Drosophila melanogaster: one gene and its partners. The protein of the gene in region 1 interacts with the protein of each later gene in a pairwise test. Each region holds a gene or a part of one and is shown on either strand. Other genes may lie near its edges.

Region 1 (4,807 bases):
AATGGGGACATAAAAAGATGGAGGAAGCGCAGCAGATGAGGTCAGGATATGGCAGACAGGCCATAAAATATCAGGCCCAGATTCGATTACATCGCCATGCCATTAGGGAGCCCCAGGCAGTGCACTTTGCTGGGCAAACATATCCAGATATATACTGCCATACTGCCAGATGTATGTAGATGCGGAGAGCGGGAGACGGATTGCACTTCTAGCTGCATACTTGGGGGACCTGGAGCTGAAGCTGAAACTGGAAGCCACTACGATTGTTGTCCGTCCGGAGGCCATCTTATCAGGCTATCTGCTCCGGGGGCCTCCACCCCAAAACAAACATGTTGAATAGCTTCCGAAAAAACGAGAGGCGTCCCCGGAGAAAGCCGGAGAGAGAACTCACCACACTGGGAGGCTAGTGCGCAAATGCGTGCCATCTCACCAGCGCACTTCCCTTTCTCCTCTCGCCTTTCTCCGTTCCTCTGGCTGCTTTCTCCATTCGCTCCCGCTCACAACAATAGCGTCATCGTAAAATATTTGCCGTATTTTGTTGTTACCACTGCCCCAATATATGGATTGGCGGCGTTTTCTTCGCCCGCACACACACTGACTCTCACAACAGACACACACAGACACTGACTCAGACCACATGTAAAATAAGGTTGAAATTTGAAATCAATAAAAGTTATTCGGCTGATCTAAAATTAGAGCAAGCAACTCAAATAACAGCCGAAAGAAGTAAATAATAAAGGCAAACACCGCATCATTGACACGCAAAGGAGGTGATTGGGCCGGCCCCCAAAAAAGCTGAACAAAAAACTGACAAATCATGCGAGCAAATCGAATGCGTCGAGCCTGCCCCACAAGGCACCATCCACATATCTAATTATAAGTTTTCAAATTGCTTGCCAATCTCCGGATGATTGATTGATTGAACGGGGCGTATGGGTAATGCATGGAGAACAGACTAAAATTACTCGCTAAACTAAGTTACTCGACTACGTTCTAGGACTGCAACTAGGTCTAGATAATCGGGGATCGTATTTTATATTCAGCTGGACATATTCATCGGTAAAATCACAAGAAAGAAATCACAACAGATACGTACAGGAGATAAAGAAGTTACACAGAGAGAACAAAGGCAGGCACAAAAACAGATTACTTATAACTGATTACGATTAAATTATGGCGGCTCCTGTTACACAAGGCATACGCACAAATCAGAAATCAATATCGCTTATGGTTCACATCACAAATTGAAGTTTTTGCCGTGTTTCTTTGGTTGTGTGTGCGTTTATGTGTGTGTATCTCAGTGTCAGTGTGGGTGTCGTTACGTATACGTAATACGGTTAAATAGCTCACCCGCTTTGCTTAGGCGATGAATTTTGAATGATTTTCCTTAACGAACTGCGGGCGAATGAAAAACTGGCTAAGCTAGCTGCTGCTCCTGCTACTGCACCTCCTCGTTCGTTTAATCCTCTTGCTCCTGCTCCTGCTCCTGCTGCTGCTCCTCGACTTCCGCTTCCGGTTTTCAGAGCCCGCACACACTGACGCACTCGCGCTGCAACTACATGTGTGTGTGGGCGATTTGTTGCTCGTCTTTATGGCCGTTGCCAATGCAATGGTGCTGGTGACTGCGATTGTGATTGTGTTTGTGGTTGTTGTCAGGCGGCTCAATGGGCATTTCCGGTTCCGGTCGGCTAGCTGCTTGCACTAATTTAGTTGATGACACTGGCTTAGTTAGTTTGTTGACTTTCGTGGCGTGCGCTCGCTGGCTAATTGCATTTTGTGTTTATGATTTAAACGGCTTTTGTTTTATGTACATGGCTGTGTGGGAGGATAATTAAACCGCGTGAGTTTCCAGCTAAACTAATTAAAGTCTTCATTCACTGAGTGGGTTTTTTTGTGTTTCATTTATTTTTCCAAGTGGTTTGGTGGCTTCGTGCCCAACGAGGATATTTTTTACACTCGTTCCCGCTGACACACATTCGAGCCCAACACACACACACACACACACACACAGGCACAGCAAACACAGCGATACGGAGAGATAGGGAGTTGAAGAGTGCTCCGCAAAATGGAGTGGAGAGTGTTCTACGCACGAGTTACGCTCACGAACAACGTAAGGTTCGACGTAACGAAAGGGGATTGTGGGGGGAGTGGCGTGTGGCGAGGGGCGAGGGGCGGTGGAGCTGAGCGGGTGGTTTGGGTGGCTCAACATTATGCTGGCACCCCACCTTCCGTCACTTCATTCGCTCGGCTCTAGGCTCTGTTATACAGCTTATAGCTTTTCAAACTTAATGTCTCTTTGTAGGCGTATGCGTATGTGTGTGTGTGTGTGTGTGAGTGCGGTTTTGTGGGTGTGCGAATGCGAGTGTGTGTGTATAACTCGCATGGCTTATATGTAGGTTGAAGCAATTTATAATAATTTTTTTTTGCTTTCGCCCCAATCGATAGGCAGCGTTTAGTGGGACAGATGACTCCTTTTGATTGACAGTGTGTGTTTGTACGTTGGTCTTTCACACTGATATACTATACACAAATGCACATTTGTATATATATATACGTATAAAGGGTGTGTGTGAAATGGTTCCTTGAGTTTGTCACACGATTTTGAGCGCTATAGGCGGCTTTTTGGCCAGCTCGATTTGCTTTTAACTCGCTTTTTTCGCACTTTTTGCAGGAAATCACTTTTCTGTATCCAGGGAGCAGCCTCTAGCGCTAGTGCTGCCATTCACGCACACTCACTCACTCGCACACATACACACACACTAACGGGGACTTTATGCATTTGATCGAAGCACTTTTCGCCAGTCAATGGAATTTTCTCGCGCTATTCTTTCACTTTTCTCCGCTGCGAATGCAATTAAGTTGGACTTTTCTTGGCCTTATACATTTCTCGGCCAGATACATATACTGCGCGTGTGTGTATGTGTGTGTGCATGCGGGAGTGTATTGGTATTCGTGTCTATGTGTGTTCCTAACCCAAAAATGTATTGTGCGGCAGCTGAGGTGGCCCGTTTTCGGCAACGCCGTTGTCCAACTAACTACCCTCAAAGAACTGAGCACGGCTCGTGCAAGCCAGTTGCTAATATAGTCGCCGATTCGCTGGCAAGTGGTGAGTTTTCCAACTTTTCCTTACCGACCACCCTCTGCTTTCCTCCTGGCCTAGGCATAGGGAGAGCTAGCCGGAGAGCGCGCGATTGCAATCAATGAATTTTCCTTTCGGCGCTCGCGCAGTTCAGTGAGTGCTGGCATCTCGAGCTGCCAGCTTAATGGATTCCGGAATTCCAATACCAAAATATGGAGCCAGCGCATTGCGTTACGCTAAACGAATGTGGGTCTTACGTATTGCTCCACATTCAGCGTTGGCAATGCTGCGCGCCAACTATTCAAACCGCCCTCAAAATTAGACTATGAACTCGTTGGTTTTAGGAACAGTTTTCTATAAGAACAGATTATAGATTCTTAAAGATTTGGATTTCATTATTTTGGAAACTATTTTTAAGGAATAAGAAATCTGAAACAGCAGACTGAATGTATCAGCTCACCTAGATTAGCTTTTTTGCAGAAGGTTCTTTTCTAAGAAAACTTAAATACTTATTTGAATTATACGAACTTAATAATAAGACAGTATTCGTTGGGGATGTTAACTTGTTACGTTTATTCTGGAATGTGTCTGTATGGTGGCGCGGTGCGTATCTGCGGTTGTAATACATTTCTCATAATACTTAATCAACGCATTTCCTATGACATAGCCCTAGTTCTAGCGATATGCTCCCGCTACCCGTCTATTTACAGGTGAACTCCTCGTAGCTCTCGTCGCACTCGTCACACTTGACCTCGCAGCACCAGCGGAATTGGCAGCGGCACTGCGTGGTCCTTCGAATGTGCTGCGTGTTGTGGCCACGCCCACAGCAGAGCAGATCGCAGCTCTGGGGGCCGTGGCCGGTCCGCTGGCAGGTCCGACCTGAGGTGCCCTGGCTGCCCGTCTGCAGACTTCGCTCGCAGTAGTTGGGCGACGCCTCCAGGTAGATCAGCTCCATGCGCTTCGGCCAATCGAGGACCGGTTTCTGGGCACGAGCGGTGCCGGCATGCTTCTTTCTGCAAGAAATTAAAAGTGGAAAGAGGTATGTGTTAATATGTGGGATCGAAAATGTGTTGATATTATACCGTGCTACAGAAGGCACAGCAAACATATTGCATTTAAAAAGGACTTAATGACTACTATGTGTTTTATTCTTTTTAGAAGAATACTTATTTAGCCATTAGATTATTGCCTACATATCATGCAACATCTTGCAAGATTCCCATTTCTCACCTGCTTAATACTAATCTCAGTCCACGTTTGCCTTTGACGGCTTGAACAGTTTTGGCTTTTTGATACTTCAGCATGAGTCTATCGCCAACCAGTCGAAAGGGCGGCAGGCTCTTCCAGCAGGTCTTCATCACGCAGGAGCCACTGACGCCATGGCACTTGCAGTCCGTGCGCAGCATCTTCTTGACCAGCTGATAAGAGAAAAACATAACTATTAACTAGGCCATATTTATTATTAAATTTTATGCATGCGCACCGTTCTCCCTGCTCGGTTATTGTGCAGGTTCATCAGCGTGCGGGAGTCGCGCTCCAATTCGCGGGCATCCATGAATCTGCGCGCATACCGCATCCCAAAGTCCACGTCCGCCGAGCAGCCGCCCCACTTCCAGGGCTCGTCGGGCGTACCGCCGCCAGTGGGCGTGGCTTTGTGCCGCACATCACAGCCGCAGGTGGAGATGTTGCCGCGGGCACAGGCGGCGGTCACCGCGTACGCCGCTCCGG
Region 2 (4,826 bases), on another chromosome or scaffold:
CAGAATCCAAATATTACGAAATTGTCATAAATAGTGAAAACCGAATTTAATAAGATATCGATATGAATTTTAAACTTTAAAATTATTTTTACTTGAGGCAGTGCTACAATGACGACAGGCAGATTTATCGATTTCCCTCTTTGGGCTCAGTTGTAACCCCATCATGGCATTATTTGGTTTGGTATGGTTATTGCTGCGTTGAAGTTTATCCACAACGCCACATCCCCATGAGTCCCTTTTCCACACTTTGACTGGTTAGTAGCACCCGACAAAGGAATATACATCGAAAGAAGAAACACAGACCCACCACTGGGGACCGTCGGACCCTAACCCGCAAACCCACCATCCCACCCACACCCACTGGGCTTTGCCGCACGCTCATGCGACTGCACACCCACTGAGGCAAAAAAAGGATACTCTTTCTTTTAGAAGTTATATTTATCGGCTCAGCTTATAATTGTAACGCGAAAAGGCCCCACAACTGACTCGCAGCTCTTGACAACCGATATTACGATCATTTACTTTTCAGATCGGATCCCATTATCTGCATGGTAAAACCCCAATTTTCAGTGCAGTCGCTTCGCGCCATGTGGTCCTTTCTGCCGGTGCTCAGCTGACTCACCTGACGACTGTGCAACATGCCACCAGCAACCCGCAACTAGAAACTCGCAACTCCGAATTTGGAGCTCCCAACTCGCCATTTGGACGACGGATAGAAGTCGCATTAAAATGCCAAAAATATGCTCGAAACCATAAAAACTAGCAAAGTTGCGGGGAAACTGTGAATTTATCTAATTAGTGAGGGCAGAATCAAAAAGATGGAATTATGGCTGCACAGAATGGAAGTCGCCATCCACATGTTGTATTACAGCTCGGCTTATACCACACACATAAGGACCAAACAAAATAATATGCAATTTTAAAAATAACTTTCTGTTTAAAGATTTTCTATATGTGAACAATACTGCCTTAAAATAAGTTAATAAATAACAACGTAAATTAATACAACAAAAAGTACCAAGCGATTTTAATGGTCTCTATGGAAATCCATTTTTGGCTACCGTAAGAGGCTTGCTATCATTTTTTTTATACAAGGGGCTTTAGTTCTAACATAAAATTAAGATAGTTGTGCGGCTCAGCTTTTTTAAATTATTTGTATGGTATGGGGCTCCACACAAAGTTCTCTGTTTGCTGGTAAATTGGAGCAAAGCTTTTAGCTTGGGGGTAGTTTGGCGGACTGAAGGGGCGATTCGGGGTGTAAAAAGTTATGGGGGCTTTGAGCATAAAAAGCGTCCAAACAAGATTTTTGATTGTTAATGTCGCGGTAAATGTTTTGCTTTCTGTTCCTCTCACCTAGTCGTATATATCCTAGATCTTCATCTCTTGTGTGTAATAGAGGAGATCTTGAAATAATTTGCTGCTGGAATAGACACCGCTTATATTACATTTGCTCGAATTGATTTGACGATATGCCATGTTTTCTTACGATTAAATTGGAACCTCCACCTCCAATGACTACAATGAATGATGATAGCCTATCAGAAGACGTTTCCTTTTCTTTCAAAAGGTTTTTAGTAAAAGGCAAAATAACGCTAACCAACAAAGCATTAGAAGTTCTGGAAACAGGATTTGTTTTAACAGAAAATTGCGCATAATCACACTTGCCACAAATGATCGCTTATTCGAGTTGTGGGAGCCTTATCAAGCACAGCCGAATTTGATAGCGACAAGGTCATTTCCTATGATGGACTTTTCACCCTTCAAATAGTTTTTTAATTAACTAAATGCATAGCCGCCAGTGAGTTTCCTGGATAGGTCCCTTTGTTGAAAACTCACCTGCACTGTGGAACTGCGTTTCTCCTGACGTCCTAATGCTTGACGTTTTGCGTCTAATCCGTGCCAACGGCTACTGCCCAAGTTATGAAAACGTGAGATCACAAATTGCAAGGGACAACTGGGGTCGGGTTGAAGAGGGGCGGAGGTATGGGAGTGGGCTAGTTGCAGTCACCGGTCGTAAATGTGTGCCGCGTTGTGAAAAGGATGCACTTGCTCTCTATGGTAGCTCTCTCTTGCTCTCTCTTTTTCTCTAAAAATGTCTATCTCTTTCGCTCGCTAGCGTTACCTTTTATTTCGGCTTTGATTGGTTTTAATTTCCGCTGAAGCTGCTTTTACTTCCGGGGCAGTAAGAATGCGAATGCAAAATGCAATTGGCTAGGTGCAGGTTTTTGTTGTTAGAGACTTATCGCTGATTCGGTGGTCAATGGCTTGGGATTTTGAGAAGCAGTACATCCTTGCAGCCTCTCTTTGCTCCTTTCTGCACCGTCTTTCGTTGCCTTTCGTTTCGTTTCACACTTTCGTCGCATTCACGGCATCCCATGCAACTTTTTTGCTGCGGCATTTTTTGCGTAACTTGTGAGATAATTTCAACATGTTTTTGGTTCCCGGAAAAGGTGCAATTTATTTTTTGGCCTTTTCATTGATCTGTGCGCGAGAGTGCTTGCGGGCGCGGTGTGTGGGCTCGCGGCAGGCGGGTGTGAGAGTGTGTGGGTGGTGCGGGGAACCCGTAGCGGAATGCGTCCGTGTGGCAGCGCGAAGCTTTCGCAACTATGCGAATTTCCTGAGTAGGAATTTCAGTATAATAAAATATCCTGTTCCTCTTCTAAGTCGAGAAAGAGAGCAAGAGAGCGCTAGTTATTCTGCGCGTGCGCCACGAATTGGAGCACTTTAATGCTGGTGGCGATAACACGGACATGGACACATCACCAATACTCGCGCACGTACACCCACCACCGCGGTGGAACTCCTTCCCTCTCACTCACTCCAAAACTTCCTACGTTTTTTTCACTGTGCTGCGCCGCTTGTCCTTTTGCTTTTCTCCGATGTTAAACGACACTTTCGGTTGTTTTTCAAGCTTTCTTATCTTTTCGGACCATGGGCCGCGCCTTTTATTGCGTTTTTACGAAGCAATTGTGCCTGCATTCGGTGGAAAAACTACAAAATATTATTTGATCGGAGGAAACGAAACACTCGCAGCAAGCGACGAGAGCGAAATGCAGCGTGCAAGAGCGAGACTGCACCACAGTCAGCTTTTACCGTTGCACGCAGCGTTGATGACAAGGGAAAGAAATAAGGACGCATGCGCGAAAAATTTCTGTTGGTCGCTTGAAGAACAGTATATACCAAATATTGGTTTCGGTTTCAATAAAGAGAAATTAAATGGTAAATGTGTAACAAAAGGAAAAATTTTTAAATATTTAGATTACTGTTGAGTAATAGTTGGCAGCTATTTTACACACATAGATGGCGTGACGGTTACTTTTTACAGAACTCTGTTACGTTTGGAAAAACTCTAGAATCTGTGAGATCATACATTTTGGTATTTAAACTATTTTAGCAACTGGTAACACTATTCGACACCGGTGCCATCAATTTGGGTCAATTTAAAAGGAACTATGTTTTTGCATAACACAAAGTTTTGCAGACTGGCAAGTGAGTATACGAGTGGATACAGTTCCCACGACATTCCTACATATTCCCCAACAGGTGGTCTGGCAGGAGGAGTGCGCAACCTGAGCGGCCAAAAACCGAAGACCGCGATCCTAATGCTGAACATGGGCGGTCCGACCCACACGGACCAGGTGCATGACTACCTCCTGCGTATTATGACCGACCGGGACATGATCCAGCTGCCGGTGCAGAGCCGTCTTGGTCCGTGGATCGCCCAGCGCAGGACGCCCGAGGTACAGAAGAAGTACAAGGAGATCGGCGGTGGTTCACCGATTCTTAAGTGGACCGAGCTGCAGGGCCAGCTCATGTGCGAGCAGTTGGACAGAATCTCCCCGGAGACAGCACCTCACAAGCACTACGTCGGTTTCCGCTACGTGAATCCCCTCACTGAGAACACGCTGGCCGAGATCGAAAAGTGAGTGTAGTCGAGAAGTAGAACAAGAGTGATGTAAATAATCCGAAGGTCGTGAAATTGACCTATATATATTGCTACGGACTCTCACAATAAGATATGTTCTAGTAAATAAGTTTGTATAGACTTCTGACTTCTTATGCATGTTTCAATGTCCTGCTATTATCAGTTGACTTCTTGGACAAATTACTGAAACCTAAACCTGGAAATTATGGTCATTTGCGCTACTTAAAGAATACATGTTAATATTTTAACATATTTACAGGGACAAACCAGAGCGCGTTGTACTCTTTTCACAATATCCACAGTACAGCTGCGCCACCTCCGGATCCAGCTTTAACTCCATATTTACTCATTATCGGAGCAAGTGAGTTAGAAATGCACAATTGCAGCTATTTATTTGATCCCCTCTACCTCTTTAGTAATCTGCCCTCGGATATCAAATGGAGCATTATCGACAGGTGGGGCACTCATCCACTTCTAATCAAAACGTTTGCCCAGCGAATTCGCGACGAGCTGGCCAAATTTGTGGAAACGAAACGAAATGATGTGGTCATCCTCTTCACTGCCCACTCCCTTCCCCTTAAGGCTGTGAACCGGGGTGACGCGTATCCCTCGGAGATTGGTGCTAGCGTACACATGGTGATGCAGGAACTTGGTCAGACGAATCCCTACAGCCTGGCATGGCAATCCAAGGTGGGCCCGCTACCCTGGCTGGCGCCCGCAACTGATGATGCCATTAAGGTGTAACTTTAATGCCGGATTTCCATTCCCATCCACTAAAACCAATCCCATCTTTACAGGGCTATGTTAAGCAAGGCCTGAAGAACTTCATCCTTGTGCCCATTGCCTTCGTGAACGAGCACATCGAGACGCTGCATGAGCTCGACATCGAGTACTGCGACGA
Region 3 (5,466 bases), on another chromosome or scaffold:
AAAGCTCGGCGTGGTCGAGTTTAGATTTTCTCAAACTTTATTTGTAGCAAACTGTCGAGGGACTCAAACTTCAACAATAACTCCTTTTAGGTCCCATCAACCCCTACCAATATCTCATTCGAAAGGCACACATCTAGAAGGAACACCAAAATTTAGGCATTAAAATAAAATATACACAACAATTTAGACAAATTATAAAGATAGAATCTCTCATTAAACGAAAGGCAAACGAAGCCAGGATCAATAGATCGACATAAAATAAATTTCAATATTTGAAATACTTCGCGTTCAATTTTTCTCGTATGAAAGACCCAATTAAAAGCAAAAACTATTTAATTAATGCTGTTAATTAACGTATAATTTGACAACGTAATACAGATGATAATAATAATTATATATATATACACCATAAACGATTTTTAAAATAAGCTGAATAAAATTGATATATGAGTAACACGTTATAAGCTGTTAAAAGTAAAACGAAACCAAATAAAACGGATACAAATTGTATTGTAGTACTTATTTTAATTGAAGAAAATAAAGCATTATTAATTATATATAATATTTCACTGGTAATAGTTTCTTTATTGTGAAATCGAATTAAAATTGGATTGGTCATCCCACTTGTACTCCTTCAAACCACCACGTCGGCCAGCCAGAAGAACTGACGCACTTCCTCCTCGTTGGATGGTCGGCAATGCGGCGGCGGGGTGATCAGCGAATTTCGGAGAGACTTCATGGCCAGCATGTTTCGCTTTACGGCCATGGACAAATCAATGATCCGCTCCGGATAATGGACTCCGATCAGGCACTCGTACTGCTCCTGCTGCTCGGCAGACATTCGCCAGGGCTCGTGACTGAAAATATAAAATGGGATTTATAATTTAAAAAATATAACAAAAGCACGAATAAACGAATTAAAAATATATATAGTTCAAATGGTTGCTTGAGATTGTTGAACACTTTAACGAATCATAAGTAAAGACGACAAAGGAGTCATCATATATTGCGTATACGACAAGTATACCATCAGTATTTTTATTATATCTAAGTACTTAAATTGTTATATGGAATTTTCATTATATAAACTTACACAAATTCCTTGGGCACATTCATCAACTCCGGGACGTACTGCTTGATGTAGGTGCCATCCGGATCAAGTCGCTTGGCCAATGCCACCGGGCAGGTGACCAGGGAGGAGTCCAGCAGCCTTTCAAACGCCGAGCTGGATACCCACATCCAGTTGCCAGCGCAGACCGACCAATCCGCATCCAGCAGATACTTCAGAAAGTGCTGCAGTCCATGCTCCCAGCTCTGCCACAAACCGCCGCGCGTGAGAAAGGTGGCCACGGTGTTGCGCAGCGTATGGTGGAGCCATCCCTCGGCCAGGAGTTGTCGCATGGCGCCGTCGATGAGCGGGAATCCCGTTTGGCCTAAACGCCAGCTCTGCAGGAGATTTTCGTTCGGCTTAGCCCACGGGATGCTCAGGCAGATGTCATTGCCCTCCATGCGATCGTAGTTTGGATTGTTCACCGACATGGTGTAGAAGTACTCTCGCCAGATCAACTGTCCCGTGATGTGCGCGCCGCCAGTCATCTGAACGCCCCGCACACAGGCGCGCAACTGGACATTCTTGAAGAGATCGTGGACGCTCCAGTAGAAGCGACGTACCGAAAGGCAACCAAAGCGCAGATGGGCGCTCATCGATTTTGGCGAGTCGTGGATATTGGGCAGTGCCTGGTTGGGCAGATAAAATCCACGCTCAAACGCATGCTGCTCCACTTTAAGACGCTCATCCAACAGAAGTAAGGCCTGTGTTTCTCCGCCGCGCCAGTTAATCTTGGCCAGGAAGCCCATGTTGTCTCCATACACATTGAAGTGCTCCGGCGTGGGCAGCTGCTCGAACAACTTAAGACTTCGGCAGAACTCGGGGTCCAGCTCGACAAAGGTGGCGTCTTCTAGTCGAGCATCGGCGGTGGGACGCGGTGGAAGCCCAATAATTTGCACCGTGTGCTAAAACATAATAAAATAAACGAAAATATAATTTGATGTAAATAATTAGTATCTTTCAGTGACTATATAATTTTCAGATAGTTATATTTTTACATTTATTTTAAAGATATATTCTCAAAAGAATATTATAACTAGAGAACTGAGCTTTAAACTCACCAGGAACATTTGGTAGGTCAGCGGTGGAATGCCACCATTGGTCTCAATCACCAATTGCGGATCCCAAAGCGTGTGTGATACCTTCTCGACAAAGTCGATATTCAGCTCCCGACATAGAGAACGGATGCTTTCATCGCGCTCATTCCAAATTGGCTCGCAGTCCTGCTCTATGCAAATCCTGTGCAGACGCACTTGCTCATGTAGCCGGCGGAAGATATAAGCCGGTTCGCCCTCGAAGACCAGGAGGCGTCCACGTCCATCAGTTGCCGCCTGTAGCTGATCATCGATGTCCTGCAACGAGTCCAGGAGGAAACGCATCCGATTGTAACCCACATTCTTGGTACCTGTTAAGGAAGAGCATTTAACGGTTTTATAAGATTTATAAATTTAAAAAAAATTATGCATTTTCAAAGTTTTTTCGTGCACAATTTTCGCAAAACTAGGAATTCAAAACAAGTTTGTGTGTTTAAGTGCCACCTTTTAGATAAATTTTCAGCTTTTGTGCAAACAAATGGTTCAGTTTAGCCCATTTTCCATTGTAATATTTGTTTTCACGCTTTTACCCACAAAACGACGCTTATCGGTCAAGTGATGGGTTCTATAGGTATCCCCGTTTCTCGCCGACTTTTTCCGTGAGCGAGCTGTTTAAACACAAGCATTATACTGCTATTCTGGTTTGCACTCAATGTCTCTACCCATTTTGCATTGTCTTTCTATATCTCTCTCCCAGCGATTCGACGGAAAATTCTCAAAACCGCCAGCCACAAATGGCATTAGGGCGCATCGTTTGTTTTGCTCTACCATGCAAAAGTGCATTAGGTTTTCCCTCCATTTTCCGCCCCTGCAGCTCTCGCCCTCTTTCCATTTTCACAAGCAGCGAAAACGCTGAATTCGCAGCGGTCGCGGAAAGAGGTGGTATGTGATAACCGATGCAAGTCGCAAAAAATGATATTAGCTCATACGGAGAATGAGCGTGTAATAGCAATCAAACTAAAAGTATTTATTTTAACCCTCTGTTGCCAACGGTTTTTTATTTTAATTTTGTTGAATTTTCAAACTCTTTCCAAAAATCTATTTTTACACAAACTTCTGATGATTTTGTATGAGCAAATATATATAGATATAATATTTTATCTTTGATGTTTTGCTATCTATTAATTATTTTAAGATTATCTTAATATTTTAAATATATCTCCATGAGATATCCATATCTCATATAAAAGTTTTGAAGTAATAACTTAGGAAAGTGCAAGGTAAGTTCAAGGTTACCTGTAATCAATTTAATTTGGATACCTACATGTATGTGTGCGCAACGAAATAAAATTTTCGAAAACTCAGTTCTTACCTGCACTCTCTCCATCGAATATGAAAACGGGAATTAGGGCTATACCCTGATCCTTATCGGCGAGGGCGGCCAATAGAGCGGGATTATCATGGAGGCGCAATCCATGGCGAAACCAAATCACATTCGCCCCTCGCGTGGCCATCAGTGAGGAGTTCCCTGCTTTTGGGCTTCAAAAATCTCCCGAATCCCAGTTTTGATCGGGAAGAACAGTTTTCCAGCTGATGAAAAGATTTTCTTTTTTCCGCACTCACGATTCGCTCGCGCCGGCAACTAATTGACGAATGAGAATGTGAATGCGAAATTTGAGTGCTGAGAACGTTTCTACAACTGCAGCTCAACGTTCCCCGTGTTCGGCGTTATAAGCTAAAATGAATCGCATAAGTACGGTGAGTGCAACAGAGATGGCGAGAAAGAGACCTGTGGGAACCGCACACTGAAAAAAAGTACTTACTTCCATATATTATATATATTATAACCAAAGTTTAAGTTGGGCAAAACCAAACGCAGGCTAAAACTAAGAGTGTTCTATAACATCCAAATATCGTTTTTGTTTTTGTTATTGTTTATATTTTGAATTTCTATGCATATTTAGTATTAAAACTCGTTATAATGGCTGCGAGAAAAGATTCGAGAGTTGATAAGGATTTTGCGGACATGCATATTTTCTCCCAGTGTAGAAGCGTGTACTGTGAATCGGTAACTAGAAACAGCCCGTTCAAGTGCGTCAATACAAAGCTGTCGATCTGTATGTGTGTGTGTGTGTGTGTGCGAAGGGGCGACTGTGTGCTTGGGTGCTTGTGTGAGCATAAGTGTGGCACTCTGCCCACGGTTGCCTGCACTTCTAGCTCTGCGCCGAGAACGAGCCGAGCCCCCACCCCGAATCGACCCCCAGCTGACTGTCCCACCCCTTCTTCCCTTCGCTCTCACAGTGGGGCACTGCGTTCTGAGCACACAGAACCAGAAACTGAACCCAACTGTTGCCGCTTATGACGTGACGAGCTTTTGCAAGCACTCAACTCTGCAGTGGGATCGAGATGGGCTGTTTGCATGCTTATACTTATCACTTTGAAGTAATAATTACCTATTTGGGTATATTTACTTGGTTGTTTATTATGAGTAAATACATTTAAGTTTAAATAGTTATAAGATTTATTGATTATTTGATTTGTGCTGTGCAGACATTCATTTGTAAAGCAAGTAAGTATCGCCCTAACTACAAAAGTAGGTTAGCCCATTCCTGGTTAGTTCTTCTACAAATTATACTGGAAATAGCTATTTTGGTAAGAAAAAGATGAAGATGGAAGATGAGCAATTCTAGATACCAGTATTCTCCTATCAATATTTCGAAAAACCAAATACACTTGAACATATAATAGAGTAGCTAATATTCGGTAGTGACGCACTTTTTGGTTATGGTCCTGCATTGGCATAGTTAGTTAACCCGAGCATGGGCCACAGCTCCTTTGCCAACTTTGAGTGAGCTTTTCCCCCATAAAAAAAAATCCCCGCACGTCGAATACCCAACATCGCTGGACAGTCCCAACGAGCCTTATTGTGAGTAAACTACGCACTTGCATCACAAAAACTTTAGCATTGCACATTGCATGTTGCCTAGACAACGACAACGACACCGACAGCAGCAGCAGCAGCAGCAGCAGCAGTAAAAACAAGAACAAGGACCAAATGGAGGCAACGTGCGTAACGGAATGTCAACTGCAAAGCTCGCCGATGCACGTGTCCTGGCAACAACAACAACGACAGGCGCTGCTTGCAACAATCGGGCGAGGAATTCAAATGATGACGACGACGATGATGAGCCTTCTGTGGCTGGACTATGGCCAAAACCAGGATTATAAGGGGGCGGGGGAAAGGAACAGTGGCAGAGGCAGAGTGAAACAGGGTCAAATGAACAATGAAGTGAAGTCGAAAGGTTTTGGACAAAAGAATTTTTC

The links. Proteins that work in one complex are often made in the same cells at the same time.
Region 2: the proteins of brp (region 1) and RhoGAP100F interact in a two-hybrid assay, tested with the Drosophila melanogaster proteins (one study listed by BioGRID).
Region 3: the proteins of brp (region 1) and cry interact in a two-hybrid assay, tested with the Drosophila melanogaster proteins (one study listed by BioGRID).

What each region holds. Positions count from the first base shown.
Region 1 is NT_033778.4:9,502,012-9,506,818, reverse strand, and holds the start of brp (bruchpilot), read right to left. Parts: upstream 3,055-4,807; 5' UTR 2,974-3,054; intron 1,816-2,973; 5' UTR 1,351-1,815; intron 1-1,350. Other genes in the region: Wnt2 (Wnt oncogene analog 2), read right to left, coding at 3,780-4,092, 4,310-4,497, 4,563-4,807.
Region 2 is NT_033777.3:31,810,837-31,815,662, reverse strand, and holds the start of RhoGAP100F (Rho GTPase activating protein at 100F), read right to left. Parts: upstream 3,055-4,826; 5' UTR 1,837-3,054; intron 1-1,836. Other genes in the region: FeCH (ferrochelatase), read left to right, coding at 3,453-3,489, 3,544-3,922, 4,185-4,286, 4,342-4,663, 4,723-4,826. UniProt on the Drosophila melanogaster protein: GTPase activator for the Rho-type GTPases by converting them to an inactive GDP-bound state. Promotes the anchoring of Liprin-alpha clusters at synapses. Recruits and keeps Nrx-1 levels high in active zones in the presynapse opposite the postsynaptic region.
Region 3 is NT_033777.3:19,210,531-19,215,996, reverse strand, and holds cry (cryptochrome), read right to left. Parts: upstream 3,844-5,466; 5' UTR 3,657-3,843; coding exon 3,515-3,656; intron 3,439-3,514; exon of another isoform or gene 3,270-3,438; intron 2,514-3,269; coding exon 2,170-2,513; intron 2,014-2,169; coding exon 1,094-2,013; intron 858-1,093; coding exon 635-857; 3' UTR 555-634; downstream 1-554. UniProt on the Drosophila melanogaster protein: Blue light-dependent regulator that is the input of the circadian feedback loop. Has no photolyase activity for cyclobutane pyrimidine dimers or 6-4 photoproducts.